7 linked regions of the Kluyveromyces lactis genome follow. The protein of the gene in region 7 binds, or shares a complex with, the protein of the main gene of each other region. Links are inferred from orthologs where the notes say so. Each region holds a gene or a part of one and is shown on either strand. Other genes may lie near its edges. The genes, in order: MRPL23, MRPL51, MRPL9, MRP20, MRPL33, MRPL38 and RML2.

Region 1 (3,707 bases), on a different chromosome or scaffold from region 7:
TAATTCAACTAACGCCTAGTAATAAAAGTAAGAAAACATCACCAAGTCCTGCTTCATCATCTAGTTCTGGTAGTCCAGCTAGGAAAGAAATGCCACCAGCAAAAGACACTGGCAAGAACCAAGTAGACGAACTATTGAGTAAGGATGCTTCTGTAAACAAGTTGCTGCAAAAGGCTTCTGACTTAGATGCTGATAATGAGGCTGAAAACCCAAGCGAAGAAAGTTCAGTATGGGACTCTGAGGATGAAAAGATCGTGAAAGCATCACAACAACCAGAAGTTGTTGTGAAGGTGGAAGCTAACACCGATTCTGAACCTGACAAGGCTGCTGAAGAGGTTCCACAGCAAAAGGAAGAAAATTCGTCTACAGAAATTACCTCGAAGGCCTCAGCTTCTTCTAAAGTCGAAAGTACTCCAGAGGCAAAGGTCGAAGCTTCATCACAGGCTAGCGTGGAAACAAACATCCGTGTGAACCCTTCTCAGGAAGACAGCGAAGAAAAGCCATCTTCCAATCCGAATACAGGTGGCGCAGCTGGAGCAGCAGCAGCAGCTGGAGCAGCAGCAGCAGCTGGAGCATCTACGAACAAGTCTCTCAATTTGAGACAATCTGTAGAAACATTATCTGGATTAGTTCTAAAGTTGGAAAGCTATATTGATAAATTAACCGAGGAAAATACCCGCAAAGATGAAATTCTTGCTGCTTTGGAAGCAAAAGTAGATCGTCTTTTGGAGCAAGGGAAATAATATCAAATATGAAATACATCCTTCCCTAATTCTTCTCGTTTTTGTTCTGTTAAATGTTCTTTCTTCCAGGCAAAAGTATTATGCTTTGGCATACTGCGATGTAATATCTTTTCTATCTCTGTATGTGATTTGTATGTGATTTGTATGTGATAATTAACATATCTAAATAACAATCTATATGTACATAGTAAAGTGGAAGAGTTTAGTACAGTGAAAAACGACAGACATTGTATGCGTACTAAGGAGAACCATTTAGATCGAATAATAATATATACAGGGATTTTACATCACATGCTGCCGTTAACTTCTCAAAAATTAAGAAGTCACATAAAAATTCATCCACACTATTTCTTCTGGTGTTGCAGCTCTAGTTGCTGATCAGCAAATGCGGTGATATTACTCTTGTATGGATGTTCACTTCCATCGAAAATTTTTAATCTAGCAAGTCTGATCTTACGAAGTTTATTCTTGGGAAGCATTCCGGACACAGCCTTCTTCAAAACTTCACTGTAACCCTTGTTACTGATCATGTCTTCCATTGTAGTCAACTTTAATGAACCTGGTCTAGAAGTATGCGACCAGTACGTCTTTTGGGTCATCTTGTTCCCCGTCACACGCAAAGCTTGGCAGTTCGTTACCACAACATAATCACCGCAATCAGCAGATGGATGATACACTGGCTTGTGCTTCCCCATTAACGCTAGAGCAACCTGAGATGCCACCCTACCAAGCGTTCTCTTGTCCTTGGATATATCAACATGATGCCACATCCTGGCAAATGCCAAACCAGTATGTCCTACCTTTTGAGACATACTTCTAATATATTGTTATTTTGCCTCCTTTCTGACAGGTTAAAACGTGGCACCTAAAAAGTTAAATTTTAAGTGATGCTATTCAACTGTAATCACTTAGGTAAAGGGATAGTTCGGGACAGTCAGTTGTCTTTTAACTCATCATATGTTTAGCTTGACAATCGATTTGATTAATTGATGTTTAATTTCAGCTTGGAGCCAAATTTTTTTCAATCGCTCATATTACTGTTACCCGGATGTTAAACACAATCTATATACAAGCTACTAACAAATACCTACAACTCATCCTGAACTATGTCGTCCTTCGTAAGTTTAGTCTTCTGTTTGTTCTTTTTAGTCTTGGACTTCTTTGACTTTGATTTATTCAAAATAGATTTGAGGTATTCTTGTCTCTTACTGAGTGGACCTTCCCTTGGTTTTGACTCGAATTTCGAAAGGAACGTTGCAATGTCATTTTTATCTGTAGTTTTTAATATGTCTAGTTCGTCATAAGTATCTGTTTCTCTATCTATCACTACGATTCTGGGCGATTGTAATTCAGTTTCACTTTTTTCTAACGATTGGAGGTATTTAACAGTATTTGGCCAATTCTTTGTATCGTTCTCAAAACTCAATTGTGACACGCCTTGCAATTTCTCGTCCCAGATCGAATAGAAATCGTAGATCCCAAGCCAATCGAGGGCTACAGATTTATATAAAGTTGGAATCTTCTCCTTCTTTGAGATAAGCACTACAGCGTACCTGGTTCTTGAAGATTTTAATAGTTCTTCGAACTTACTGTAACGGTTCAACCGCTTCACGTAGTTTTTCACTCTAGATAAAGCGAAATCGACAATGGGCTTCAATTTCCTTTCTCCCTTGTACACTTCTGTGGCATGCTGTGACGCAGCACCATTGGAATTTTTCTTTGGGTTATCCAAATTGATCTTTGGAGGCCTGAATACCATTAACGTTGGGAACCCCGATACTCTGTTCTGTGCACATAATTGTTTATTCACACTTTCATCACAGTTCACTCCAGCAACTTGTACCATTCCAGAGAGGATTTTACCGGCAGATTTCATGGAACCTTTCAATTCCTGACAGTAACCACACCACGGAGCATAAAACATGACCAAAGTGGTGTAATTGGTCCTATGAATGACTTTATCGAAGTTAGAAGGTGTCAATTCCATGATATTCTCATCACGGTCGTAGAAATTGGCTCCGAACGCCAGTTCGACCAACAAAAACAATGCATATAGAAGACGTGTGTACATCATAGTCTGGAGGACTTTAGAAAATGTTCAACGATGGAAGTTAACAAGGTGGTTTACTCTCTTCTCTTTTTGTCAATTTCGAGTGATGTTGAATTTCTTGGCAGCAGTGGACCCAAAGATTTGATTTTGAAATCGTTAAAAGGAACATCGATACATAAGAACTAAGAAATAAGGGGACACGATCCCATCATCATCATCAAAGGAATAAGGAAACACACAATAGCAGAGCCAAGTGATTAGAGAATGTCATTAGAAACTAGTTCTCCATACGCATTTTATGCTTTCTACCAGTTATACAGCCAATTTTATCGCGTGCCTAAGATAACACTAGAAACCGTGAACGATTTTTTGTATCAGGGGAAAGGTTTAAAACCTGAGTTTGCACGGAGTCCCCTATTTGTCACATGGAAGAAGTTGAAGAAAGGTGAATACCAACTTAGAGGGTGTATTGGTACGTTTTCCGAAGGTAAGATTGAAGAGGGTTTGAAAAGGTACGCTTTGATATCTGCATTGCAGGATTCGAGATTTACACCAATCGAGCGGGAAGAATTGAGCCAGCTAAGATGTGGATGCAATTTACTCAGTCAGTTCAAGACTATTTATAGCAGTGAGGGCACAGGCAATAGTGGTGATATTTGGAATTGGGAGATTGGGAAACATGGTATTGAGATTAAATTCAGGCATCCCAAGACCAATTCTCGGATGAGTGCTACTTTTTTGCCAGAGGTAATCCCAGAACAAGGTTGGGACCAACGAGAGACGTTTGAGAATTTGATCGAGAAAGCGGGATGTTGGAATTATCTAGAGGAAGTTATGAAACATTGGGAGAAGTATTTCGATGAGGTGATCCGATACGAGGGAACAAAATCCGAAATAGCATGGGATGAGTTCGA
Region 2 (3,800 bases), on a different chromosome or scaffold from region 7:
ATTACTGCTAATGGGTTAGTATTGCCTTTACTTGCTACTACACCCGCGGTTGCGGTTTCCCAACCAATGTCTGCATCTCCTTTGAGTTCAAACCTTTCTGGAAGCAATACTAATTTGGCAGGTTTGGCTCATTCAGAAGATTTTGAAGCCCATCAAATGCTAAATTCCTTGTCCCTTGATGAATCGTCTTCATTTGTCCCAGGAATATCATCCGTCATTCCAAATACCATGACTTCACAATTTACAAATCAACAATCGATTGCCTCTGTAAAAGAATTGATTGCCAATCGCGAAATGTTACATCCCGCTATCACCTCTCTGACTTTGGATTATGCATTCTATAAAATTATAGGTTCCATTCCTCGTTGTATTGCCATGTTAGAGGCATTCCAACTGGTTGTCAGAGACTACAAGACTCCAGAAGGTACTACTCTTTCACGTAATTTGACAAGTTACCTGTCCCATCAAATTGATTTCTTGAAGAAGTCAAGACCATTGAGTGTAACCATGGGTAATGCCATTAGATGGTTGAAGCAAGAAATCTCTCTAATCGATCCTTCAACACCGGATTCAAAGGCCAAAAAAGAACTTTGTGATAAGATTGCACAGTTCGCTAGAGAAAGAGTGCAGTTGGCTGATCAACTTATCATTGAAACAGCTTCACAACATATTGAAGAAGGCAGCACTATATTGACCTATGGCTGTTCCAAGGTTTTAACTGATTTATTCCTACACAACGCCATAAATTTCGGTAAGAACTTCCAAATTGTTATAGTGGACAGTAGACCTTTGTTTGAGGGTCGTAAAATGGCAGAATCTTTGAGAAATCAAGGTCTTAATGTTTTGTATGTTCCCATTACAGCATTGGGTACCGTATTCAATATGGATATCAAATATGTGTTTTTGGGAGCGCATTCGATTCTTTCAAATGGTTTCCTATATTCAAGAGTCGGTACTGCTCAGATCGCTATGTTGGCAAGCAGAAGAAATATTCCTGTACTTGTATGCTGTGAGTCTTTAAAGTTCTCTCAAAGGGTACAGCTTGATAGTGTCACATCTAATGAACTTGCTGATCCAAACGATTTGGTAACCATTGACTCTGCTAATCCTGTACAGAGACGTAACAACAATGGGTTCTTATTACAGCAATTTATCAAAGAGCGTGAAGCGCAGCAGAAGGAAGTCGAGAATAGCTCTAAGCAAAATAATAAATCTGGCAGTGCTAATACCAATAATGCTACTGCCGACGAAGGTAAGAATGTCAAGGATAAACCAATACTAGCAGAGTGGGAGAAATCACCTAATTTGCACATCTTCAATATAATGTACGATTTAACACCCCCTGACTACATCAAGAAGATCATTACAGAATTTGGTTCGTTGCCACCATCTTCTGTTCCCGTGGTTCTTAGAGAATACAAAGCATCAGCTTGAATGGAGCCCTTTGCATATATAATATACGATAATATCATATAATATAGTAAATGAAAAATTAGTATAGATCTTCTTTTTTATTAATTGCGTAGTAATATTCAACATCGTAGGTTGTTTACTTAGGTATCGGCTTCATCGAGGATATTGCTATATATATGTACAAGTTAAGCTATGATCTCGATATTACCATTCACAAGTCATTTTTTCGATTCAAACCTTGTGTCTGATGGCTGGGCTTAAATGTAGTGGAGACCAGATACCTCTCACACTATCGTTCAAAGTATCCACATTGTCGTTCTTAGTTCTGTGACGGAGTTGCTCACCAGATGCGTCTCTGATTAGTTTTAACTTATTCTCTACATTATCAATGTTCAGATTTTTTACGCAGATGGCTTTATTACGGCCATTAACATAGTCACCTTTTATAACTGGATGGCCAGACTTTCTTACTATTTCGAACTGTATTGTTGGATATTTTTCAGCCCATTGAATCATTCTGTTAGACGTTAGGAAATCTCTCAAACCCTGTGAGGAACCACCCCAATTACAGTATTGCAAAGTGATCTTTTTACATGGAAGCACAAAAGCGCCAACACCATTTCTTGCGATAGAAGTTTGTCTCAAAACTTTAACAACCATTACTTCAGAGAAATCTTTATGACCGCGGGTACCAGCTCTGATTAGAAAACAAGTTGGGTGTATTTTGAAACTGTGGAGAGATCCTTCAGATGCAGAACATAGATTCACTAATATATCTTTTGAGTTTTATTCGAGTTTTCAGTTCATGATTATTTTTTTCCAATTTCAAAAGACCATCAGTCACGTGAACAAATCTGTATGTATTCGAAGGTAGGAGGACAATTCACCACATGCTCACACAAATGAAAAAGATACTGGTACCAACACTGCTATAAGGTGACGAATGTAAATAATACAGAACCTCTTTCCGACTATATTCTGTTTCTTTCACATTGCTATGTCAACACATCCTCATGAGATGTCATACGTCATGTAAACTTGATGATCTGTCGATGGGTTATGACAATAATGCACTACCAGCGTTTGGTTAAGGGTACTTTTACTGAGCAAATCCATAGAAAGTACGATAGAGGCCCCAGATTCTGATCCAAGATGTCCCAAAGGCTTCATATGAGGTTAATTAAATAAAGGGCCTGATTTGCGTTCACCCATGGAATGTACGGATTGACACCTAGCGTATGTTGGATGCACACTAGTAATTTGTTAAAAAAATTATGCACATGCGTCATTTAAACCAATTAACTGGGCACTCCCTATTAAGTGTGATGTAAGTGTATGACACTTTGTTCAAGAACAGGCAAATGTATTGCCATAATAGTCACCAGTTTATCATTATGGTGCGTATAATGTCCCTATAACTATTGAAAAATTAAAGTTCTATGCGTTTTTTTAAGGATGCGTATAACGATGACCACCCCTAAAAAACATTCACTTGTAAGTAGCGAACAGTCAAGGTTTGTATCCGTTTCTTTAATTTATTACGGCGTTCACTGAAGCGTTTCAACGATGCAGTATAAAATGCGACAAAAAAATTTAGGGAAAAAAGCAGAAGAATACCATACTAATTAACTGGAACTTGGTAATTCATCAACGGTAAATACTTATAAGGTGTTAAGAGTTTATTAGCGTGTCCAAAGTAACATTTGTATTATATAAGAAGGGCAGCAAATGGCACTTTTTTACTACCATTTTCATACCTTTTACTTGCACCTTTATTTCATGTCATTGAAGAATTCTTAATATACATAGTTTTCCTTCAGATTAATTAAAGATTGAACACCCTCGAACAACAACCTAACTTTACTACGCTCATTAAAAACGATTATAACGCTAAACTTGGTTCCCTACCCATACATACCTTTTGAAATTATTTTCTCTGTCACTAAACAAGAAAGTTTCAAAACGTCAGTTTTCAGAAGCTTCAATACCTCGCTACAGAAAAATAAAATCATTCATTGGATCCAACTTTACGTCTATCCTTAAAAAGGAAAAAGGAGTGTGAATTAGTGTGAACATTGAACTCGAAGAGTTGCAATAATCATAGCACCACCACCTTAAAAACAATAAAAATAAATACAGTCGCTCGTTTGAAATATATTTTGCTTTCAATTTAACTATTGAAAGAACCTGATACCAAAAACCCAAGAACGTTTTCTAAGCGGCTTTGTCTGAGAAAACCTGAAAAAACCTTTTTGACACATTTCTGCAGGCAAACTTCTTTTGTCCCTGCATTAGAAAAAAAGAACTTTTGTGAACACCTAACCAAGGCAAACCTAAAACAAAAGCTACCTATGGAGCAATATCTTAACTTATCCGATGATGGCGAA
Region 3 (4,132 bases), on a different chromosome or scaffold from region 7:
CGGAACATCGTGTGGAGTTTTATAAATTATTGAGGGCCATCAACTCCAAGTGTTTCGTAGCGATATCTCAACTACCACCACCGGCTTTCAAACTTTTCGTTGATGCCATATGTTGGGCGTTCAAACACAACAACAGAGATGTTGAGGTAAATGGGTTACAAATTGCTTTAGACCTTATTCAAAACGTTGATTCCGCTAGTCCGTCTGAATTCTCTAACGATTTCTACAAGAACTATTACTTCACATTCCTTAGCGAAACCTTCTATGTCCTCACTGATTCAGATCACAAATCTGGATTCAGCAAGCAAGCTCATCTTTTAATGAATTTGATTGCCAGAGTAGAAGAAAATAGAATAGCTGTACCATTATACAAGGAAGATGAAGCTCCTGCAGTCACTTCTAATCAAGCTTACTTGGCTAACTATCTAGCAACCATGTTAAGCAATGCATTCCCTCATTTGAGTGGTGAACAGGTTATGAACTTCATTCAAGCGCTACTCAAACAATATCATGATCCAAAGCATTTCACTGGTACTATTAGAGATTTCTTGGTCCAGATCAAGGAGTTCGGTGGAGATCCAACCGATTATTTGTTCGCAGAGGACAAAGAACAAGCTCTCGCGGAACAACATAAACTTGAAAGAGAAAGAGCTTCCAAGATCGGTGGGTTATTGAAACCATCGGAATTGGATGATGATGAGTAAAGATAACACCTTACAGAAATGTACAGCATGGTCAAGAAACGAAAAAGTTTCTGCGGATCCAATGAAAGCTGAAACTAACACTTGTCAAGCAAGGCAAATATATACATAGCAGGCCGTATATCTTCCCACATAGAGAAAAAAATTGTAATCAATTCTCTCCGACATATACCCAGGATCCAGTATCAACGTATGAAAGCCATTAAATATCTGGTTGAAAAGGACACTCAACGTTGCAGCAGTTACTATTTTATAATTGGTGTATATACAGGTATAGATTGTTAATAATAACCGTAGAAAGGCATGCTTTCCAAATGATTTCGGGACGGTGTCTAAACGACTGAAAAGATTCAATTTCTTAATCACAGTTTTTTATACTGGGGTTGGCTTTTTGATAGCATCTTGGATCTTAACGAATGCACCATTTGGACCTGCGACAGAGCCCTTCACCAAGACAGTACCTGTTTCGTCGTTGACGTCCAGCACTTGCACGTTTTGAATTGTTACAGTGTCGACACCCATATGACCAGGCATCTTTTTCCCAGGCAACACACGACCAGGTGTTTGATTTTGACCGTAAGAACCACCAGATCTGTGAGATACGGAAACACCGTGGGATGCCTTCAAACCTTTGAATCCATAACGTTTCATTACACCTTGGAAACCCTTACCTTTGCTGATTGATCTTAAATCAACGTATTGGCCAGGCTTGAACCACGAAGGTTTGATTAAAGAACCCACTGGTAGTAGTCCAGATTCGTCCTTGACTCTAAACTCGGTAACTTTTTCCTTTGGATTCACAACATGTGCAGCGAAATGTCCCAACATTTGTCTGGTAACATTCTCCGGCGACTTGTTACCATAACCAATTTGGCAAGCCCAGTAATTGTTTTCAGCTGGAGTTCTGTGTAGTATAACTTCGTTATTGTCCAACTGAAGTACAGTAGCTGCTATACGTTTACCAGTCTCTTTCTCGAAATACGGCATCATCCCTACTTTTTTACTCAAAGCACCACAACGTAGAGGTAATCTTCTTCTCTTTAGCGCATTTTCTGGAGAATGTTTAATATCTACAGGATCTAGATGAATGCTGCTTGCCACGGATGGTGCGACTAACTTGGCACCGTTCGATACTCCACTTTGTGAGAAAAGTCTTGTCCAAATCTTCGACGAAGGACTGCCAATAAATGCCATTATTCCCCAATTTTCAAAGACTGGTCGATTGATAACAAATGTGTCAATCCAGATAACCTCTTGGCAATGCTGGAGAAACTGTAAAGGATTTAAAATGTAGTTTAAAGACTCTATTGAAACCTGTTTCCATCTCTGTATAATTGTTAAAGCTGTTTCGATATTGAAAATTTTTTGAATCGATAAAGTTACCTATAGATCACGTGATTAAAACGGCACGTAGTTCTCTCACTGATTTAACACAAATTAAGTGTGCCCTTGACGGTTATTGGAAGTGTATGTTTATGCTTCTGTATTTACATGTTATTTAATATTATAATAATTATAATCATCATTCTATCGTCATCATTTGATCTTCTTATCCTTGATCTTGATAGTTTCATTGTTAACGTAGATACCTTTACCCTTATATGGTTCTGGAGGATGGAATTTTCTCAAGTTGGCAGCGAAGAGTAGCACTTGTTGCTTGTTGACACCTTCCACGATCAACGACGTGGGTACCGGAGACTTAACTATGATTCCCTCTGGGATAGGTAGGCCTTGTCTTACCGACGCACCGACTTTGACGTTGACAAAGGTGTTATTTTCCTCCAATTGAGCTCTGTAACCGGTACCAACGAACTTCAGAACAGCCATATGGCTCTCATTCACGCCTGTGATATGATTATTTATATGAGATCTTACCGTCCCCCACATGGATCTTTGCGTCTTGTCGGTAGAATCCTTCACTGCAACTTCGATTTTTCCCGAAGATCCATCCTGCTTTATCTCCACGAAATCTGGGATTTCCATATCAATCTTCCCCAAAGGACCCGATACAGTTACGTTCTGAGATAACTTAAGAGATTTGTTACCCTTTCTGATGATCTTTGGCAGTTTCATTGATTCCACCACCAACTTGGTCTCCGGTGTCAAATACACCGGAGAAGAACCAATATGTGAGCGCAGAAGAGCCGACACAGAAAAGAGTCTTCTGGAAACAAATGTCATGGTAATTGTGTATATCCTGGAAATAGTCTAGCCCACTTTGCAGCCGCTATATGACTGGGTATATTAGATCAAATGCGTCTATATCAATCTGTTCTTCCAGCACTCATCTCTATGCGTCTTTCAACCAATTTTTCACTTGGAATCAAAATTTTAATAGTGAGATAGTATGGGAGGGTAACTTTAATTGCTTTGACGATTGTTAAATAAGATATACTTAGGCTGTTACTCTCGATTGGTGACCATCTAGGCCACTCCTGGGTCGAAATGGGATGTGGAGACTGCTCTTCGTCGAAACACAGGAGTAAATACCTTGTGCTTATATTATCCTGTGCATCACGTGACTTGTTGATCTTTGCCCTTTCTTTTTGAAAAATTTCAAGCTCATCGCCTACGCATCGTCATCTCATCTCAATTACTGAATGATATAGCAGGCTGAAGTGGTTTCAAGAGCGTTCAGCAAGTCATTTGGTGGTCTCATAGCCAATATAAGGATAGGATACTCCAAGCAGATACACTAGGTAATACAGTATGGTAAGAGCATTGAAACATCATGAGCAGAAGCTTCTCAAGAAGGTCGATTTCTACGAATGGAAACAGGACCAGAACCACAGAGATACGCAGGTGATGCGTACGTACCATATCCAGAACCGTGAGGATTATCATAAATATAACAGAATATGTGGTGATGTGCGTCGTTTGGCACATAAGCTATCGCTTTTACAACCTACAGATCCCTTCCGTATCAAGCACGAGCAGCTCTTGCTAGAGAAACTATATCATATGGGCATTCTTTCAACAAAATCCAAGATATCAGCACTAGAGAATAAAGTTACAGTCTCGGCTTTCTGTCGTCGTAGATTGCCTGTAATAATGCATAGATTAAAGATGGCACAGACACTCAAGGATGCCGTTCAATTCATTGAACAAGGTCATGTTAGAGTAGGACCTAACTTGATTACAGATCCAGCATATTTGGTAACAAGGAATTTGGAGGATTACGTTACATGGACAGATTCATCCAAGATCAAGAAGACTGTACTACGTTATAGAAACGCGGTCGATGATTTTGACGATGCCTAGATTGATCCTGCTATACTTGCCTTCGGAAGTAGGAAAAAGGGCAAAAACTATTATTTTACAAATTTGAAAGGAAAGTAAGTAGTAGTGGTATATATGTATCATAAGAAAAAGTATTCTAATTACAATCTTTTGCTTCGAGCTCGGTTCCAATGTATATGGATATGCCGGAT
Region 4 (4,142 bases), on a different chromosome or scaffold from region 7:
CAAATCCAATCTTTTCTTACCGAAGTGGTCACGGTCATCTTGATCCTTACGGTCTAAAGCACAAAGCAATAGTCTATTAATCATATAACCTAAGAAGAAAGCTTTTCTGCTTTCAAAACCTTCCAATTGGGTAATATGAGGTAAAAATTCCTTTTGTAAAATATCTTTGGCGTACTGGATTCTTTTCTCCTTCTTGATACCCAAAGCTGTACCACGACGACCAATGAAATCCAAAGCTGTTTCTCTATCCTGAATAACAAACCCTTCCTCCACACATGGTTTCAACATTTCTAACATTTGCCAATCGTTGACATCATAACAGATATGTTCTAAGATTTCACCATCTGGAATGATACCTAATGCTCTGAAAATAATCACAATGGGAATATCTTGCTTGATATACGGTAAAGTTGCCTTGATGGTACGAGAGGTGGAACCTTCACGACCATACAACTTGACCTGAAGTGTACTGATAAAACGAGAGCCCTTTTCTAGAGCAGATCTAATTTCTGCGATATGTGAGATTGGAGAAGGAGCAGATTTCTTGAACACTTGGACAATATTACCTGCAGAACGTTCTTGAGCGATCAAAACCTTTTCTGAACCGTTAATGATAAAGTAACCACCCATGTCGAACGGACATTCCTTCAAACGATACAAATCAGATTCTGTCAAATCGTCCAACAAACAGTACTTCGATCTCAACATGATAGGTACTCTCCCGATGAAAATTTTATTATTTTCCTCATTCTCTTCACTTTCCTCAGTGATAATTTCGTATTTCAAATCACGACCTGGAATATCAATAGCCTGATAAGTTCTCTTCTGAATTTCCACAAATAAACCTGATGCGTAAGTCAAGTTTCTGAGACGGGCTTCCTGCGGATACATCGCATGAGAAACACCATCTGACTCAGTCATGGATGGTTTGGCCAAATAAATCTTACCAAATGAAATTTCATACTTTCTGGAAATGTTGTCCGTTTCAGTGGTATGCTGTGCTAATTGTTCCAAAATCAAGGTACTGTCTTCCAAGATAAGATCCTGAATCGTATAGTTGATGAATTGGTTAAAAGAATCCAACTGCTGAGATACTAAACCTTTTTCTCTGAAGAAAGCGGAGATAACAGTCCACGAATCTTCTGCTGAAATAGCAGCTTCTTCCTCATCGTACCCATATGGATCTTCATCATAGTATTCAGTCATCCTTGGTCTGTATTAAGAATTGCAAACGTTAATAATCTACACTGACCTCACAACCGTGGCAAATAATGCGTACGTGCGTGCTTATTATTAAAGTACAGAATAACACTCTTTGTTGTGTTGCTCGCAACCTGAAAAGAAATGTGTATTACTGGTCAAACAAAGAAGAAAACACACCCCAAATACAAAGAGTTAAGGACTTACCCAATAATCCGAAACAAACCCCACTCTGACAGAAGATGATTAAGCCGACTGGTACTCTCTTTTCTCTTCTCTCTTCCAATCTTCCTATTAACGATCAATCGGTAATTACGTTTCGCCTCTCAAAACAATAATATTTCAATTTCAAGCTTCCAGAGTATTTTTTTTCTTCACTATAAAGAGAACATCATTTCCCACGTCACAAACGGGTAACAGCATTTATTCAAAAATTTCAATATATCAGGTCACGTGAAGATCATTTCCTACGCTCTGATTTTTCCAATAAAAAATCTTTCTTCTAAAACATCCCAGAGCTCTCCAGTTTTGTACGACATATTCTACGTTAGATTCGTGCCAAAATGTGTACTCATCAGCTTTTCTAATATCTACTAACATGGAAAATGAGTATTTTAAAGCTTTTCATTGAAATGATTTCGATTTTAACATTAAGATTTGTATGAAGATGAGGCTTCTAAGAGACGCATACAAGAACAGGATTATTTGGGACTTTTCAGTTGCGAGTGCAGAGCGAAGTGAAGTAGTAATCTTTGCGCCAGTGTTTCTGTTCAATATCTATAACAAATGCCTCGTTTTTTCCCATCTCTCAAACAGGGTTTGAGAAACCTTGCTACTGCGGTAGAGACGGAATCTACAGTAGCAGTCAAAGCCAGTCAGTTCAAGAGACCTCGTCAATCCGTACAAAGCAGAATCTTGGAGTACACTCGTGAAGCGATTAAAACTGAGAAACCACATTTTAAAGTTGGTGGTGCAGAGCTCTATTTTCCTAAAGCGAGAGTTATTCTACTAAGACCAAATGCTAAACACACTCCATATCAAGCGAAATTCATCGTTCCTAAATCGTTTAACAAATTAGATTTAAGAGATTATTTATTCCACCTTTATGGTTTAAGAGCGTTGAACGTTACTACACAGTTATTGCATGCCAGATACACTCGTGCTACGCCGGTGTCGCCCAGGTACCGTGGTCCTCAAATCAAGAAGATGACTATCGATATGGCAGAACCATTTATCTGGCCTGCAGAACCTGAGGACAAGAGTGCATGGAATACTGAGTTCCAAAAGGAATTGGAAAAATACAGAAACGATAGGATGAGACTAGGATCCGACGCTAACAAACCTTCAAAGGCATTCGATGGTGTATTGGGACCATACCAGGAAACTGCAAAACCTTTCATTCCTAGATTCCTTAAAAGAAGACTAGTGAATAAGAAGGCTAGAGAGGCAAAGAAGGAACAATATTTGGAGCAAATCAAGAAGGTCAGTGAAGTCCTTGCTAAAAGCACATGAATTTCAGAGAATTTATTCTTTCATGAATTAAATTCTAGTAAAAGTATTACATCCTGTAAATATAATGTATGAAATATAGTACTGATTTAAAAACTGTCATAGCAAAATAATATGACGACTACTTGTGAACATTTTCAATGTTTAAATGAGAAATAAGTTTGAAGAACACTATATGTATGTATAAAAGATAAATACATTGTGGTGAATATTAAGGGAAAGTTAAGTGCAGTATGTCCCAGTTTGAAAAAAAATGAAGCGAAAAAAGAGTAACGGTATAAGATTTCTATTTGATTCCTGAATTTCCGTTGTATTGATCTTCACGGTTCAGGATGGAAGGGTTCAATAACGGGCAGGTGCTCATTTAATGTCATACTTAGTCACTAAACGGTTAATCTTGTTTCTTTTTTTCCTGTTGCTGATTATACTAAGATTGGCATTCTAATGTTCTTTATAAGTTCCTATTCCAATTAGTACACGGAGTTTCTAGTTTTTTTGTTCCTGTCTAAATAGGAACAGGATAATGATGATAATGATGATGAAAATAATAATAATAATGATGATGATGATAATGACGATATGAACGAAGCGAGTTTCTCCCAGTTCTGGTCAATTAGACAACAGAAAAAAACATGAGATATTTTATCGCTTCTGATGTGAACCGGAGAGGCAGGTAGAGAATCTCCTGCCTCTCTGTTTTTGTTTTTTTTCCTTTCTATTTTTAATGTTTGATTCATTCATTTGACTCCCTTTCTTAGCTGATTTGAGCAGGTCCTGTGATACCAGGAATGCTTATTCTTAGCCTGTGAGTTACAGGTAGTTTAGGAACCACAGCTACGAAGGTAGTTAAAACGAAGTTCAATAAAAATAGTTGTAAATCGTAACGGCAATAATGTGTTGACAAAAGAAACAAACCGATAGGTACCGTAATCAAAAACTTCCTAGTAGGCGTATACAACACCCCATCATCGATCTGTTCCCACATTGTTAGATTATCATAAACTCCTCCGTTGAAATCGAAAGGTGTACCTTTAATCAAATGGAACATGATATAGGAACCAACCACGTAAGCGATGTTAGTCAAGGTCCATGACCATTCGTTAGACATTCCAGGTAATAAATTGAAGAAGAGTCTAAGCAGTGCAATCACAACAAGGTGGATAATCCATGCGCCTCGCTGATTCACCCAATTAGCGTTCATATTGTTCATCATCTGTTGGTCATTTTCATCTTCAAAGGATTCCGGTTCCACATGCGATATTATACTGGAAGAACGCCTTCTTCTGTGATCCTTGACAGGTTCAATACCAGACGCACCGCCATTACTGTTATCTTGTCCATAAGATGGGAAAGGTTTCAACTGTGACATCGTTTATATTTTGCCTTCAGCTGCGTGGTACCTTCTTAACCAGTACTCAAAAGATGAAATAATG
Region 5 (3,760 bases), on a different chromosome or scaffold from region 7:
GAACCAACATCCCGCTCCAAAATACAAAAAAAAAAGTAATAAAGCAGTGAAATGAGACATTATTTCAAATTCCTACATCATTTTTTTATTTAGTTGGAAAGCTTTGGTTTCTTTTGTGACCTTCCTTTTTTGTGTTACCTGAGTCCTGTTTCAATAATTAATTCGCAATTAACTTGTAAATAAACGCTACTTTTCAGCTACTTTTCAGCTAATACTTATATCTTCTACATCCAAAATATACCATTTTTGTAGACATTTTCAACGTACGTATTGCTCATCAATTACTTTTCGGATTTTTGCATAAAACCAACTTTTGTTCTTGCATATTTTTGTATCGTCATTATGCATTACATAATAAATACCACTAATTTTTTTTGTACCTTTTAGGCAATTGTCAACACAACTATTGTTGACATTTTGAACTCTCTAAAAACAGAACATTAAAATACAAGGCAATAGACATTATACATACCACTCCCAATGGTTGGTAGTTGATCCACATGTCCTACAGTTTTCGCAAAGCATTTGGTCAATACAGTTGAGCAGATCACGGATATATAGTTGCTTTCTAAAGGACTACTGGGTGACCCCGTTTGAAATTCCGAGACTATAGTAGAGTGAACGATGACAGAGGGAAGACGTTTATCAAATCGTTCTAGCATTCGCAACACCACGCATATATTCAACGATACTTCAAGTAAGACGAAGGGTACTAAATTCAAATTTAAGAATGGTTCTGGAACTCGGCAGTCTCCAAACAAACAGCACATATCGTCGTCTCCTCCAATATTAGAAGTTCAAAACATCGCCGATGTAGACACATCAAATACTTTTGGGCAATTCAATCGAATTTCACAGCCACCAAGTAAGAACTTGAACTACGATACTCCAAAGATCAATGTAAAACTAGAGTATCATACAATGCAAAGTTCTAAGATCATTTACAAGATAGATGTTCCAATATCAAGTAAATCAGACATGGAAATTTCTCCCGTGATAACAAAGTTGATCAACGAAACCCATGAATCAGCTGAAGCATTCAAACTTTGTAATGACAATAGATTCGGTTATACCACATTGGACGCTTTACCAGCTGTTTTGAGCAAATATATCTCCCAGAATATGAGTGTTCAAAGGTTACCACAAAGACCTAAAACAAAACATTTGTACAATAGAGTTGATCAATTGCTGGCTCAAGAAAATCAATTCTTTTCGGCAAATGACAGTATAGAACTAAGTTTTGATGGAAAAGCTATGAATAAAAATGATATCTTCAGAATTGTAGATTCGTTCTCGGTGGCATTTGACGATGATGAATATGGTGAAGATGGTGACGACGAATACGTGAAACAGCCTAGGAATATTCTCACCAGAGAAGTCACCGGTGTCTTCTAAATAAAGACGTTTGGTATATGATACTCTCAAATACCTCATTAGAATAAGATTAATATTTCTTTGATCTCTATATACATGAAAATCCTAATATCCTTTTCTTTATGTAAAACAGAAGATGTTCATTGTGAGCCCAGTTTCTTCTCTGTTAAATGTTTCTGGTACATTGCTTTGTTTGTTATATTGTCTGGTATGATCCTTTCTATACTCTCTTTTCGACAGTAAATCCAGGATTTGATTTTCTTAGCTCACGCTGTTCTGCCTTACTTAAAGCTTTATCGGCAAGCTCAACGCTCACAAGCTCCTTTATCTGAGCGACAGCACCTGCAATAGATGGTGTAGCTGGTTGATATGCGACAGATCCTCTTTTTCCGAGTCCTAAACTCTTGACCACTGCCCTAGTCTTCTGTGGAGTACCAATGACTGACCTCTGTAATGTAATTCTGTAGAAAACCATGGCTATCTTTGAAAATTATTATGATAGCTATGCTTTTAGAAACCGTTCGCTAATACCAGTAATGAAGTATAATTTCCTCGGTCGTAAGTTTCGTTGACAATATAGAGAACTATGTCAAAAAAAAACGCTCTTTTAAGAGATCTTGTGCATCATTATCGAAGAGATTAACTGGGTATTCAAACCATTAATAGCCAACGTACATTGATTTTTCAAATAGCATCAAAACGTATAAAGTGATATCATGTGATGTATATTGTCTAGCAGCTCATCGCGTATGTCATTTGGGCACTTCTCACAAACCGTCGCAGGAAAGTGCTACCTACTGAGAAAGAACCAGGAATTGCATATAAAGATCTCAAGATTATATCTCGCTGTTTGAATATTTCTTCCTGAATATGAAGTTGCATTGAAATTGTCTTAGGAGGGGCATTTGCTTGGTTATGTATATATATATATATATATATGTCATTTCTTTTTTTCCAATATTTATGCCCGATTGAATAATATATATATATATCATATTAACAAGCTCTTAACGCCATGGTTGGTTAGATCTCTCTAAGGTTTATATCGCCACTATACACTGCAAAGTAGAAGTAATAATTTGAGCCAATATGGCTGGTAGTACGCAAGACACCGGCGTCAAAGACGTTCCAAAAGAGCTTGTGGAACAAGCAAAAAAGCTATCGATTACTGATGGGATGGACCAGTTGAAGGTAGAAGGTAAGAATAAAGTAAAGGACAAGAAAAGTAAGAAAAAAGGCAAGGCCTTGAATGAGATCACTCCAGAGTATATCGCTGAGATGCGAGCTAAGAGAGAAGCTGCGAAAATAGCAAAAAAAGAGGCTCTTATTGCTCAAGGTATAGATCCAAAATTGCCCGCAGACCTTAGATTTATCAAAAGGCCGATGTTAGCTGTTCCTCGAGATTCATCAGGCCAATCGACGAGAGAGGTATGTCCAATCAGTATAATGACGTATAATTGTCTTGCCCAAGCTTTGATTAGAAGAACACTGTTTCCTACGAGCGGAAATGCTGTTAAATGGTTTAAAAGATCTCAAGTTTTACTCAATGAATTCAAATATTACAATGTTGACGTACTGTGTTTGCAAGAAATTGACACGGTTCAATACAAGTCTTTCTGGAAAATGGAGTTCACAAAACTAGGTTACATGTGTCAATTCCATTTTAATCCTACCAAAAACCACGGAGTATTAATTGCTTGGAAAGAAGATCTATTTGATATGACAGATAAGATGTTAATTGACTACGACAAAGAAACAACAGGTGCCATTGAACCAAGAACAACTACCAAAAATGTTGGCATGTTGCTTTCTTTGAAGTTTAAAAAGAAAGTGCTAGAAAAATATCCAGACACCAAAGTCAGTGGTATAATTATTGGTACCACACATTTGTTTTGGCATCCATTTGGCACATATGAACGGACAAGACAATGCTATATTGTACTAAAAAAAGTAAAAGAATTCCAGAATCGAATCAACGTTCTTCAAAACGAAAAAGACGGTGATAATTCACATTGGCCAGCATTTTTCTGTGGCGATTTCAATTCTCAGCCGTTTGATGCCCCATATTTGTCCATCACATCAAAACCAGTGGAATATACCGGAAGGGCTAAAACAGTTATAGAGTGCAGCACTTCATTTACCTTCTCTAAACTAAGAGATGGGGATGAAGGAGAAGGAGAAGAAGGCGGCAACATTGAAAAATTTGGTAAAGGTCAACCTGAGACCCCCGTGCCAGAATCTTTTTCCGGCAACGAAGAGCAAAAGCAGTTATGTGAGAACATGAAAACCCTTCATAATGACATTGACATGCGCGCTATATCCTTGTATTCAATTGCTTACTCGAAAGTTCATCCTGAAAACTCAGGATTGGACAACAAGCGTAATG
Region 6 (3,885 bases), about 430 kb from region 7:
AATCCGAATCTGATGAAGATGGTTATAAGGGACCAAATAAATCAGCCAATGTACCAAAGATTGTTAACGAAAAATCCGTCATTGGTGCTAACGAATTGAAACTGATAAACCAATTAACCGAAAAGATCGATAACGGATTTTGTTTGAAGGGCTCTAAGTCTGATGCAGTTTCCTCCAATGAACCTTCTTCTGCTCCACGAAAGCAGCATTTATGTGAGAAATACGGGAAGTCGATCGGTATCATTGGACAAGGTGCCTATGGGGTTGTAAAACTATGCTATAAATTTATTGACCCAGATGAACCTGATCTGAAAGATAATACATATTTCCATGATAACAAGTTATTCTATGCGGTAAAAGAACTGAAGCCAAGACCTGATGAGCCTCCAAAGAAGTTTAGCACAAGACTAACCTCAGAATTTGTGATAGGATTATCGTTGAGTGGTGGTAACAAAAGCAGAAGATCTTCGGCAAGAACACATCCTAACATTTTAAACGTTATTGATTTAATGCAAACACCTAACGCATTTTATGAAGTAATGGAATTTTGCCCTTCAGGTGATCTATACAGCTTGATTACAAGAAGCTCAAAATCTGATTCAGTTTTACATCCATTAGAAGCAGATTGCTTCATGAAACAACTACTACATGGTATTCAATACATGCATGCTCACGGTGTAGCTCATTGTGATATTAAACCAGAAAACTTGCTATTTCTCCCTACAGGTGTATTAAAAATATGTGATTTTGGTACAAGTTCTGTGTTCCAAACAGCCTGGGAAAAGAAAGCACATTTCCAAACCGGACCAGCAGGATCTGAGCCTTATGTTGCGCCTGAGGAGTTTATTCCAAAACAACAATACGATCCAAGACTAGTTGATTGCTGGAGCTGTGGTATTATCTACTGTGTTATGGTTTTAGGCCATTATTTATGGAAAATTGCTATCAAAGGCAAGGATTCAGTATATGACGCATTCCTCGAGGATATGGAAAAACATGGACAATATTATGTATTTGACGAAATGAAACATGTGTCTCCAGGTATGAACCGGTACAGAACTGCTGCACTTTATCATATCTTCCAAGTTGATCCGAATAAAAGGATAACGGTGGATTCATTGCTAAAAAGTTCGTGGATGAAGAGGACAAAATGCTGCGTTACATATCCACCAAGGCCGGTGTAACACCAAAATTTGTTTCATAGCTGAAGGCCTTGCTACTTTGGCAGATTTAGATTAGTTTCTTTCGCATCATTTTTATCTATATTTAAGATAAACATACATCTCTTTGAAACACTTATAAAATATTGATATCACTGTCAATGAGCAATAAGTTGGTAGTCGCGTATCCATCATATTTATCATGGCATTTTCATAAACTTTACTAACGATATTTTCTATTTTTTATTATCTATATACATGATTCTAAAAGCCCTGCGCAGTCGTAATCGATATTTACCAGTGGTGAAACATATTTACAAAACTTTACTTGCTAGAGAGCAAATCTTGTTGTAGCCCTTTTCCCTTAGTTCTCTGCCGACAACACCATCGTTACCCATAATTCTTGACCCTAGAGGTTCACCATTATTCTTGTTGATTAATACACAAGCATTGTCACCGAACGCAATTGTTGATCCATCAGGACGTATCATATTTCTTTGCTTGGTACGTACCACCACAGCGTGTACAATATCACCTTTCTTCACTCTGTTGTTATTGGATTGCCCAGTAATAGTTTGTGTTAATGGTTTAGCCTTCTTCACCACACAGACGATTTTGTCACCTATTCTACCTGGAGATTTTGGCGAACCTTTTCCAAGTACTTTGATACATTCGGCAATTTGAGCACCTGAGTTGTCAATGACTTTCAAAAAAGACTTCAAATAAATCATGTTATAACAGTCACAGTGTGAACTTCAGTTAGGTCGTGTGCTGCAGGCTGCTACTGATCGGGAAAGCACAGCTTTTCTTCCTGGACTATCGTTAGAGAAAGGATTAAAGCTTTCTATGTCTGGTTTCATCAAATTTTTTCTTAACCCATAATTGATGTATATCACGTGATTGATTTATTATTGGCTAATCAACGCCATTATCAACGCTTACTACATACAAATAAAGTGCTTACAACGCCGTCATTGTTAAGACAGCTGGTGTTTTCATTAGTTATCGTTATATACTTCAGTAAAATTATTAAGTATTATGCTGTTGAGAATGGTAAAACATCAGAAAAAAGGTCAATGTAACAGTATGCGTTACTATTAATGCTATTGGTATGCTTGTTGAATTAAAAATTAAGGGTTATAACTGACAAGGACAGAATAGTAGAAAATATTTTGTTAGTTTAGGATTAGTTTCAATGCTTACCCAGAGCTACTTTCACCATATCAAGTTCCCATCTCCGGGTTAAGTCTTTCGTTAAGCAGCCCTTCACTGCGTTGAATAGACCTTGGAATTCCACCTGGTCATCTACACCCAAGTTCGAGTTCATATCACAGTTACAAACTTGGCGTAGTGTCGTTTTATCATATTTACCTGAAGTTATTATTGCACGAAGTCTGGGCTCGTATTCATGTTTAAAAGGTAATTTGCCGGTAAGCATGGTGAAAATTAAAACACCAATGGCCCATATATCAGCGCTTGGTCCAATGGGAGGAGGGTTGGGTTCTAGTAACTCCGGAGCAGCGTATGGTAAAGAGCCAATTCTGCTCATGTCATCGTTGATATGTTCATGCAAATCTTTGTTAGGTGTTAATGTAATGTCTGTTTTTTGGTTCAACGAGCTGGTTAGGTTAGAACGAGTGCTCTTTGGTACGGAGTGAATACCCAAAGTCGTATCATCATGAATTAATTTTTTATCGTTCACTATTTGTCTTAACCTTGATTTCAACCGTAAAGAAGAATTATTCGTTGAAGAGGAAGATCTTGGAATTGAGGGTCTTCGTTTCAAGTGAAGAGTAGACCCATCAAATAGGGATTTCAGTTGAATTGATTCATTTTCCATCTGATCTTTGAAATGGCCATAAAAGTGACTCATGCCAAAATCGCATAATACAAGCTTCCAATCTTTGTAGTTCTCAGACTTTTTTTCTAGAAGGCAATTTTCCAACTTTATATCTCCATGTGCAATGAATTTAGAATGCATATATTGTACAGCATCAATTAATTGTAACGCTAAGGCGGATGTAGCTTGACACCTTTCTCTTAAACTAATCTTTGAATTACCACATTCGCCCCAAGAAACAACTAAATCGTATAAGGTTCCATGATCGATCTTATCTGTTAAACAATATGCCACCAGATCATCGTCTAATTTCCATTTTGTTAAAGGAAGAATATTATTGTGGGAAAGTTTCGACCATATTGAGATTTCACGTAGTACTTGCCTCTTTACACTTCGATTGTCCTTGAACTTGATAATCTTCATCGCCTTGCAACAAGTATTATTCTGGTTTTGAGATTCATCTGTAGAAGGGAAACATTCCCTGATCATACCCCAAGCGCCGAACCCTATTATTTTGCCAAGTCTATGACCCAAAATGAAAGACCCTTTATCGTCCCTCTTGAAAGAACTAGAACCGGGGGTAAAAGAGTTCAAGTATTTCGATGCAACTGATCCATGTCTGGATCTCACGTTATGTGTTGAGCCACTGTGGCTTAATTTCTCACGTTTCAAAATGTTCATAATAGTCTTATAGTCATGGTTGGGACTTAAATCCTGTATGATCTTCTTACGTTGGGAAAATGGCATATTGATGAAATCCGATGGAATAGATCTCATAATTCTATCTAGGTCATGTTCTGATATTTCAATTTGGGCAGGTGGAGTTCTCAGAGACGATGCAGAAAATAACGATGATGAGCTCGGTCTTGCTATAGGAATTTGAGG
Region 7 (4,566 bases):
ATTGCAAATATGTAAAACAACTCCAGTAGTGGTGAAACATTCAAAAAAAACCAAAGCAATTTGTTGGATACGTTATTAGTGAAGGAGTATTGGAATAAGATTATACATACCAATTGCCACGGTATAATGACTCTAGAGATTGACTTGAACAGTTTCAGGCTTGATTGGTGTATTTTCGTGGATGTGTTAAAGTAAGGTAGTCCCGTGGACTCATTGGATACAATTACTTTGGACACGTCGTAGTAGGATACTGATACCTTCAGGAACCATGTCCATAGCCATAACCCTAATAACACAAGGACAACAACTCTCTGTGGGATCGGTAGGTAAACCAGAAAGGGTTCAACAGATTCGGCGTCCATGAATGCACGTATAAATAAGGAATCAAAAAAATGTAACAAAAAAAGGAGGAATAGAAGCAGAAGAAATCCCTTTCAGAAAGGCCCTGTGTGTATCGCTAACGGTTTAGATTTGTGGTTCACTGTCTCAGAGCTCTGTATAATCTAGGATCCTACGTTTTTAGTCCTAAGATAACACTTTTATTTCTATTGACATCTTTTCAAGACGTGTTTACAATTCAGATACCGGCACCAAAAATAAAAAAACACACACTACCGAAAAGCACAAGTTACAAGTACAAGAATGGAACAGCTAATGCTATATATAAACGTATTCAGGACTGTTAGAGATAACAAAAAGCGTGTTTCTAATCCTTTAAAATTTTGAATTTTATTCATGATTAGCATGGAAACTTTTAGTTCATCATTAATAGGTCTATATATTTAAGATAGAGAATGCCGAGTAATCCACTGACACATCTAACGTACACTTCGACTACCCGAATATATCCGGAAATGAAGAAAGTCAAACAAACAAGAAGATATAACTTGTACTGTATTGCCTGGACAGTTTATTTTAATAAAGTAATCGATTGATCAGAATTTTCAGTGTTTGGCTAATGCTAGTCGAATCGTTCATATTTTCGAAATCCGTTTGGGGCGACAGCGGTCATCATAATCGATATACTCAAAAAAAAAACAATCCAAATGATGGTATTTCCATACAGACAGTCATTATCTTCGTCGTTCCTTTTACTTGTTCATTTCCCGACATGAAGAGGAATTTGATTTCCGTTTGAGTTCAGTAAAAAAGACAGAATACGTTGCGAACAGGAACTCCTGTTCCTGATACACTACAAATCGAATCCTTGTTGGTTATGTCTCTAACTCTAATTAAAAGCTTTGTAACGGATAATAAAGTATTCGTGATGAGATAGAAACTTACCTCAAAATTTTTCACTTTTCCAGTTATTTAAACTAAAAACCATAAAACAGAAAGAATAGTCAATCTAACCATGAGAGACTGGTCTGCCATTAGGGCACAAAATAAGTACACAAAGATTTCCTGAATCACGTGACCAAATATTATATAATCCGGGTAAATTCAGAATACGTTCATAGTGATACTTCTTGCAAAAAATTCCATTTGACGATATTCCTCTGATGGTATTGAAGCTGTTTGAAATTAGAGATCGCTTGAAAGATTTTGATATTAACAAAAATGAACAATGTAATTGCAATGACTTAAACATTTTAAACTATGGATATTGATATATATAAGGGTGGATATATCTATAACAAATCTTATTAAGATCAGAGTTATTTTATTATTTCTGTGAAGGGCAGTAGCAAAGCGGAGATATTGGTATTAGACGGTTTACCCTAAGAATCTCGTTAGGTGCTCTGGATATAATATCATGTTCAAGCAATTCAACTTGAGATGCCTGACGCCGCTTGCCAGCGGCGTCTCCTCAAGAGTTCAAGTTCCGTGGAATGTTTCGATGATAATGTCTTTGAACAATACTTCACTTGGTGGAATCAGATCTATGGCCAGCATCACTCCAACCGGGAATGAAGAACAATCTTCAGTTGACGATGTCAATGTCCATATGTTGAAAATCGTTCCTAATAACACAGATGTGGTAGCACTAGAGAAGCAAGACGAATTGTTAAGAAGAAGAAGAAAGTTGGCTAAGGAAGTTACACAAATGAAGAAATTGAAACCGGTTTCTCCAGGTTTGAGATGGTACCGTGCGCCAATTTATCCATATTTGCATAAGGGAAGACCTGTTAAATCTTTGACTCTTGCCAAGAGAGGAAATGGTGGTAGAAACCATAGTGGTAAGATCACGGTGAGACATCGTGGTGGTGGTCATAAAAGAAGATTGAGAACAGTCGATTTCAGTCGTTTCGAATCTGGTATGCAAACTGTGGAAAGAATCGAATACGATCCTGGTAGAAGTGCACATATTGCATTGATAAAACATAACGATACTGGTGCCCTAAGCTACATTTTAGCATGTGATGGGCTAAGAGCTGGGGATACCATCGAATCATACAGAAAAGGTATTCCACCATCATTTTTGAAAGAAATGGGTGGGAAGATCGATCCTGCCATCTTATCTGTTAGAACAGCTCAAAGAGGTAACTGTCTACCAATCTCTATGATCCCAATCGGATCCATCGTTCATAATATTGGTATCACTCCTACAGGTCCAGGTAAGTTCTGTCGTGCTGCTGGTTCTTACGCACGTATCTTATCCAAGATCCCAGAAAAGAATAAAGCTGTTGTCCGTCTACAAAGTGGTGAGCACCGTTACGTATCATTGGAAGCTGCAGCTACCATGGGTGTTGTCTCAAATATTGACCATCAAAACCGTTCTCTAGGTAAAGCTGGTAGATCTAGATGGTTGGGTATAAGACCAACTGTCAGAGGTGTGGCAATGAACAAATGTGACCATCCTCACGGTGGTGGTAGAGGTAAATCTAAGTCCAAAAAGTTGTCCATGTCTCCATGGGGTCAATTGGCCAAGGGTTACAAGACAAGAAGGGGTAAGCATCAAAACAAAATGAAGGTTAAAGATAGACCAAGAGGTAAGGCTGGTAGAAAGGCTAGACAATGATAAGCTTCCCCACAACTGATCCTATCTTAAATATCATCAGTTTTTGTAAACTTATTTCAATGACTTCCATCCTGTAAATATCGTAGAACTAGTTAATTTAAAGAAATAACATAACATCTGTTCAGTTACCAACTCTATTTTAAACAAAGTTTAGATTACTACATCCAGAGCATCATTTGGTCTCTTCTTCCAGCTTAAATTCCCAGTTCCCAAGTTCGAATAAGGAACCAACGACTAACCTTACATGCTGGGCCATGTGATCAAATGAAAGTCTGTCTAAAGTGTCCATCGTACTGTGAATGTATTTGTTAGATTTGTTGAACTCACTTTCAATGACAAAGGAAGCGGGGAATCCATTCTTCGTTGCACTTCCGTGATCACTACATGCATATCCACATTCCGTTTCCACGTAAGGAATATCCAAGAATCTTCTTATAATCAACTTAATAAATTCAGTTAGACCTGGCGTGGTATAATCAGTAATGACACCAACATGCTCATTTTCTGGATCTTCAACATATCCGGTCATATCTTGTTGCAACATTGCGACGACTTTTTTGTTCTCCTCTGCATACCTGGTGAAGACATCCAAAGAACCTAGTAAACCACCTTCTTCTGCACTATAGAAATGGAACTCAATGGTGTTATTGGGTCTGTAACCTGTTGTAGAGAGATGTTCAACGTATAATCTCAATGCCTCTAGATTGGTTACGGTACCAGATCCATCGTCATCAGCTCCTGGCGCAGCAAGTATCGATGGCAATAAAAGGTTCATAGAGTCCTGATGCGATCCCATTACGACAATGTTCTCGGGAGTTTGTGCTCCTTTAATCGATACGATGATGGAGAATTGCTTCCAACCTTTATGCTGAACATGTTCAATGACAACGTCATTGTTCAATGGACTAGTGATGTTAGATAATTTCTCGGAGAGCCAAACAGCAGATTCGTACCCCGTGTCAGATTTGTAATAGCGAGTGTAGAAACTTGTGAATTTTGCCAAATTATCATGCATTGAAACCTTATCAACTCCCTTGGACAACGAATTTACAATTTCGTCGCATTGAGTTTCCTTCGGATAACGGTACACTGGCACAACAGCCTTTTCATCTTTGGACTTAAGTAATTTGGGAAAATTGGTAATATCCATGAATTGCACTCCTTTCCTCTTGAGAGACCATTTCTCGGTCTCTCGTACCATAATAGTCTTACCTTCCTCGATCTCAAGAACATGTAAACTATCAAATGGCAAAGCTGCCACAGAAGCTGCCAACAAGAACCACCCAAACTTCATAACTAGCCAATCTGATATTTGCTACGGAGTTGAAGCAAAGTATACACCGGTAGATGCTTGTACTGTCCCTTTTAATACAGTATTTATCCACTTGTTTCTGAAGGGAAAAAGGGTTTTTTTGACATCTAAGTAGAACTAACGTTGTTTAGAAGTTTAGTGTACATATTATGGAAAATGATATTCATTGATATACAATAATGGAGAAAGGGAGAAACCAAAGATCAAAAGATGACATCTTCCTCTTGTTCGGTAATCAGAGCTTCTACTTGTGGGCCAGATTGTTCTTCTTGTTCTTGTGTGTCGGCAGCTT

What was found.
Region 1: RML2 (region 7) and MRPL23 share a complex: the UniProt entries of both Schizosaccharomyces pombe proteins name them as parts of the mitochondrial large ribosomal subunit. The link is inferred for Kluyveromyces lactis from reciprocal best matches to the Schizosaccharomyces pombe genes rml2 and mrpl23.
Region 2: RML2 (region 7) and MRPL51 share a complex: the UniProt entries of both Schizosaccharomyces pombe proteins name them as parts of the mitochondrial large ribosomal subunit. The link is inferred for Kluyveromyces lactis from reciprocal best matches to the Schizosaccharomyces pombe genes rml2 and mrpl51.
Region 3: RML2 (region 7) and MRPL9 share a complex: the UniProt entries of both Schizosaccharomyces pombe proteins name them as parts of the mitochondrial large ribosomal subunit. The link is inferred for Kluyveromyces lactis from reciprocal best matches to the Schizosaccharomyces pombe genes rml2 and mrpl9.
Region 4: RML2 (region 7) and MRP20 share a complex: the UniProt entries of both Schizosaccharomyces pombe proteins name them as parts of the mitochondrial large ribosomal subunit. The link is inferred for Kluyveromyces lactis from reciprocal best matches to the Schizosaccharomyces pombe genes rml2 and mrp20.
Region 5: RML2 (region 7) and MRPL33 share a complex: the UniProt entries of both Schizosaccharomyces pombe proteins name them as parts of the mitochondrial large ribosomal subunit. The link is inferred for Kluyveromyces lactis from reciprocal best matches to the Schizosaccharomyces pombe genes rml2 and mrpl33.
Region 6: RML2 (region 7) and MRPL38 share a complex: the UniProt entries of both Schizosaccharomyces pombe proteins name them as parts of the mitochondrial large ribosomal subunit. The link is inferred for Kluyveromyces lactis from reciprocal best matches to the Schizosaccharomyces pombe genes rml2 and mrpl38.

Annotation. Positions count from the first base shown.
Region 1 is NC_006040.1:209,739-213,445, reverse strand, and holds MRPL23 (mitochondrial 54S ribosomal protein uL13m), read right to left. Parts: upstream 1,556-3,707; coding exon 1,088-1,555; downstream 1-1,087. Other genes in the region: CRN1 (coronin), read left to right, coding at 1-743; protein disulfide isomerase MPD1, read right to left, coding at 1,831-2,817; KLLA0_D02464g (uncharacterized protein), read left to right, coding at 3,058-3,707. UniProt on the Schizosaccharomyces pombe protein: Component of the mitochondrial ribosome (mitoribosome), a dedicated translation machinery responsible for the synthesis of mitochondrial genome-encoded proteins, including at least some of the essential transmembrane subunits of the mitochondrial respiratory chain.
Region 2 is NC_006042.1:775,500-779,299, forward strand, and holds MRPL51 (mitochondrial 54S ribosomal protein mL43), read right to left. Parts: upstream 2,074-3,800; coding exon 1,645-2,073; downstream 1-1,644. Other genes in the region: GCD2 (translation initiation factor eIF2B subunit delta), read left to right, coding at 1-1,434; KLLA0_F08371g (uncharacterized protein), read left to right, coding at 3,765-3,800. UniProt on the Schizosaccharomyces pombe protein: Component of the mitochondrial ribosome (mitoribosome), a dedicated translation machinery responsible for the synthesis of mitochondrial genome-encoded proteins, including at least some of the essential transmembrane subunits of the mitochondrial respiratory chain.
Region 3 is NC_006041.1:1,425,303-1,429,434, reverse strand, and holds MRPL9 (mitochondrial 54S ribosomal protein uL3m), read right to left. Parts: upstream 1,896-4,132; coding exon 1,074-1,895; downstream 1-1,073. Other genes in the region: exportin CRM1, read left to right, coding at 1-704; MRPL6 (mitochondrial 54S ribosomal protein uL6m), read right to left, coding at 2,238-2,882; snoRNA-binding rRNA-processing protein IMP3, read left to right, coding at 3,411-3,962. UniProt on the Schizosaccharomyces pombe protein: Component of the mitochondrial ribosome (mitoribosome), a dedicated translation machinery responsible for the synthesis of mitochondrial genome-encoded proteins, including at least some of the essential transmembrane subunits of the mitochondrial respiratory chain.
Region 4 is NC_006038.1:504,150-508,291, forward strand, and holds MRP20 (mitochondrial 54S ribosomal protein uL23m), read left to right. Parts: upstream 1-1,986; coding exon 1,987-2,712; downstream 2,713-4,142. Other genes in the region: DNA-directed RNA polymerase II subunit RPB2, read right to left, coding at 1-1,206; sphingolipid homeostasis protein ORM2, read right to left, coding at 3,464-4,078. UniProt on the Schizosaccharomyces pombe protein: Component of the mitochondrial ribosome (mitoribosome), a dedicated translation machinery responsible for the synthesis of mitochondrial genome-encoded proteins, including at least some of the essential transmembrane subunits of the mitochondrial respiratory chain.
Region 5 is NC_006039.1:552,747-556,506, reverse strand, and holds MRPL33 (mitochondrial 54S ribosomal protein uL30m), read right to left. Parts: upstream 1,850-3,760; coding exon 1,595-1,849; downstream 1-1,594. Other genes in the region: DSS1 (exoribonuclease II), read left to right, coding at 1-39; KLLA0_C06292g (uncharacterized protein), read left to right, coding at 625-1,395; NGL2 (RNA exonuclease), read left to right, coding at 2,464-3,760. UniProt on the Schizosaccharomyces pombe protein: Component of the mitochondrial ribosome (mitoribosome), a dedicated translation machinery responsible for the synthesis of mitochondrial genome-encoded proteins, including at least some of the essential transmembrane subunits of the mitochondrial respiratory chain.
Region 6 is NC_006037.1:612,985-616,869, reverse strand, and holds MRPL38 (mitochondrial 54S ribosomal protein uL14m), read right to left. Parts: upstream 1,892-3,885; coding exon 1,475-1,891; downstream 1-1,474. Other genes in the region: putative serine/threonine protein kinase KKQ8, read left to right, coding at 1-1,184; protein kinase NNK1, read right to left, coding at 2,353-3,885. UniProt on the Schizosaccharomyces pombe protein: Component of the mitochondrial ribosome (mitoribosome), a dedicated translation machinery responsible for the synthesis of mitochondrial genome-encoded proteins, including at least some of the essential transmembrane subunits of the mitochondrial respiratory chain.
Region 7 is NC_006037.1:182,016-186,581, reverse strand, and holds RML2 (mitochondrial 54S ribosomal protein uL2m), read left to right. Parts: upstream 1-1,756; coding exon 1,757-2,962; downstream 2,963-4,566. Other genes in the region: ERD1 (Erd1p), read right to left, coding at 1-362; KLLA0_A02013g (putative aminopeptidase), read right to left, coding at 3,135-4,256; VMA8 (H(+)-transporting V1 sector ATPase subunit D), read right to left, coding at 4,478-4,566. UniProt on the Schizosaccharomyces pombe protein: Component of the mitochondrial ribosome (mitoribosome), a dedicated translation machinery responsible for the synthesis of mitochondrial genome-encoded proteins, including at least some of the essential transmembrane subunits of the mitochondrial respiratory chain.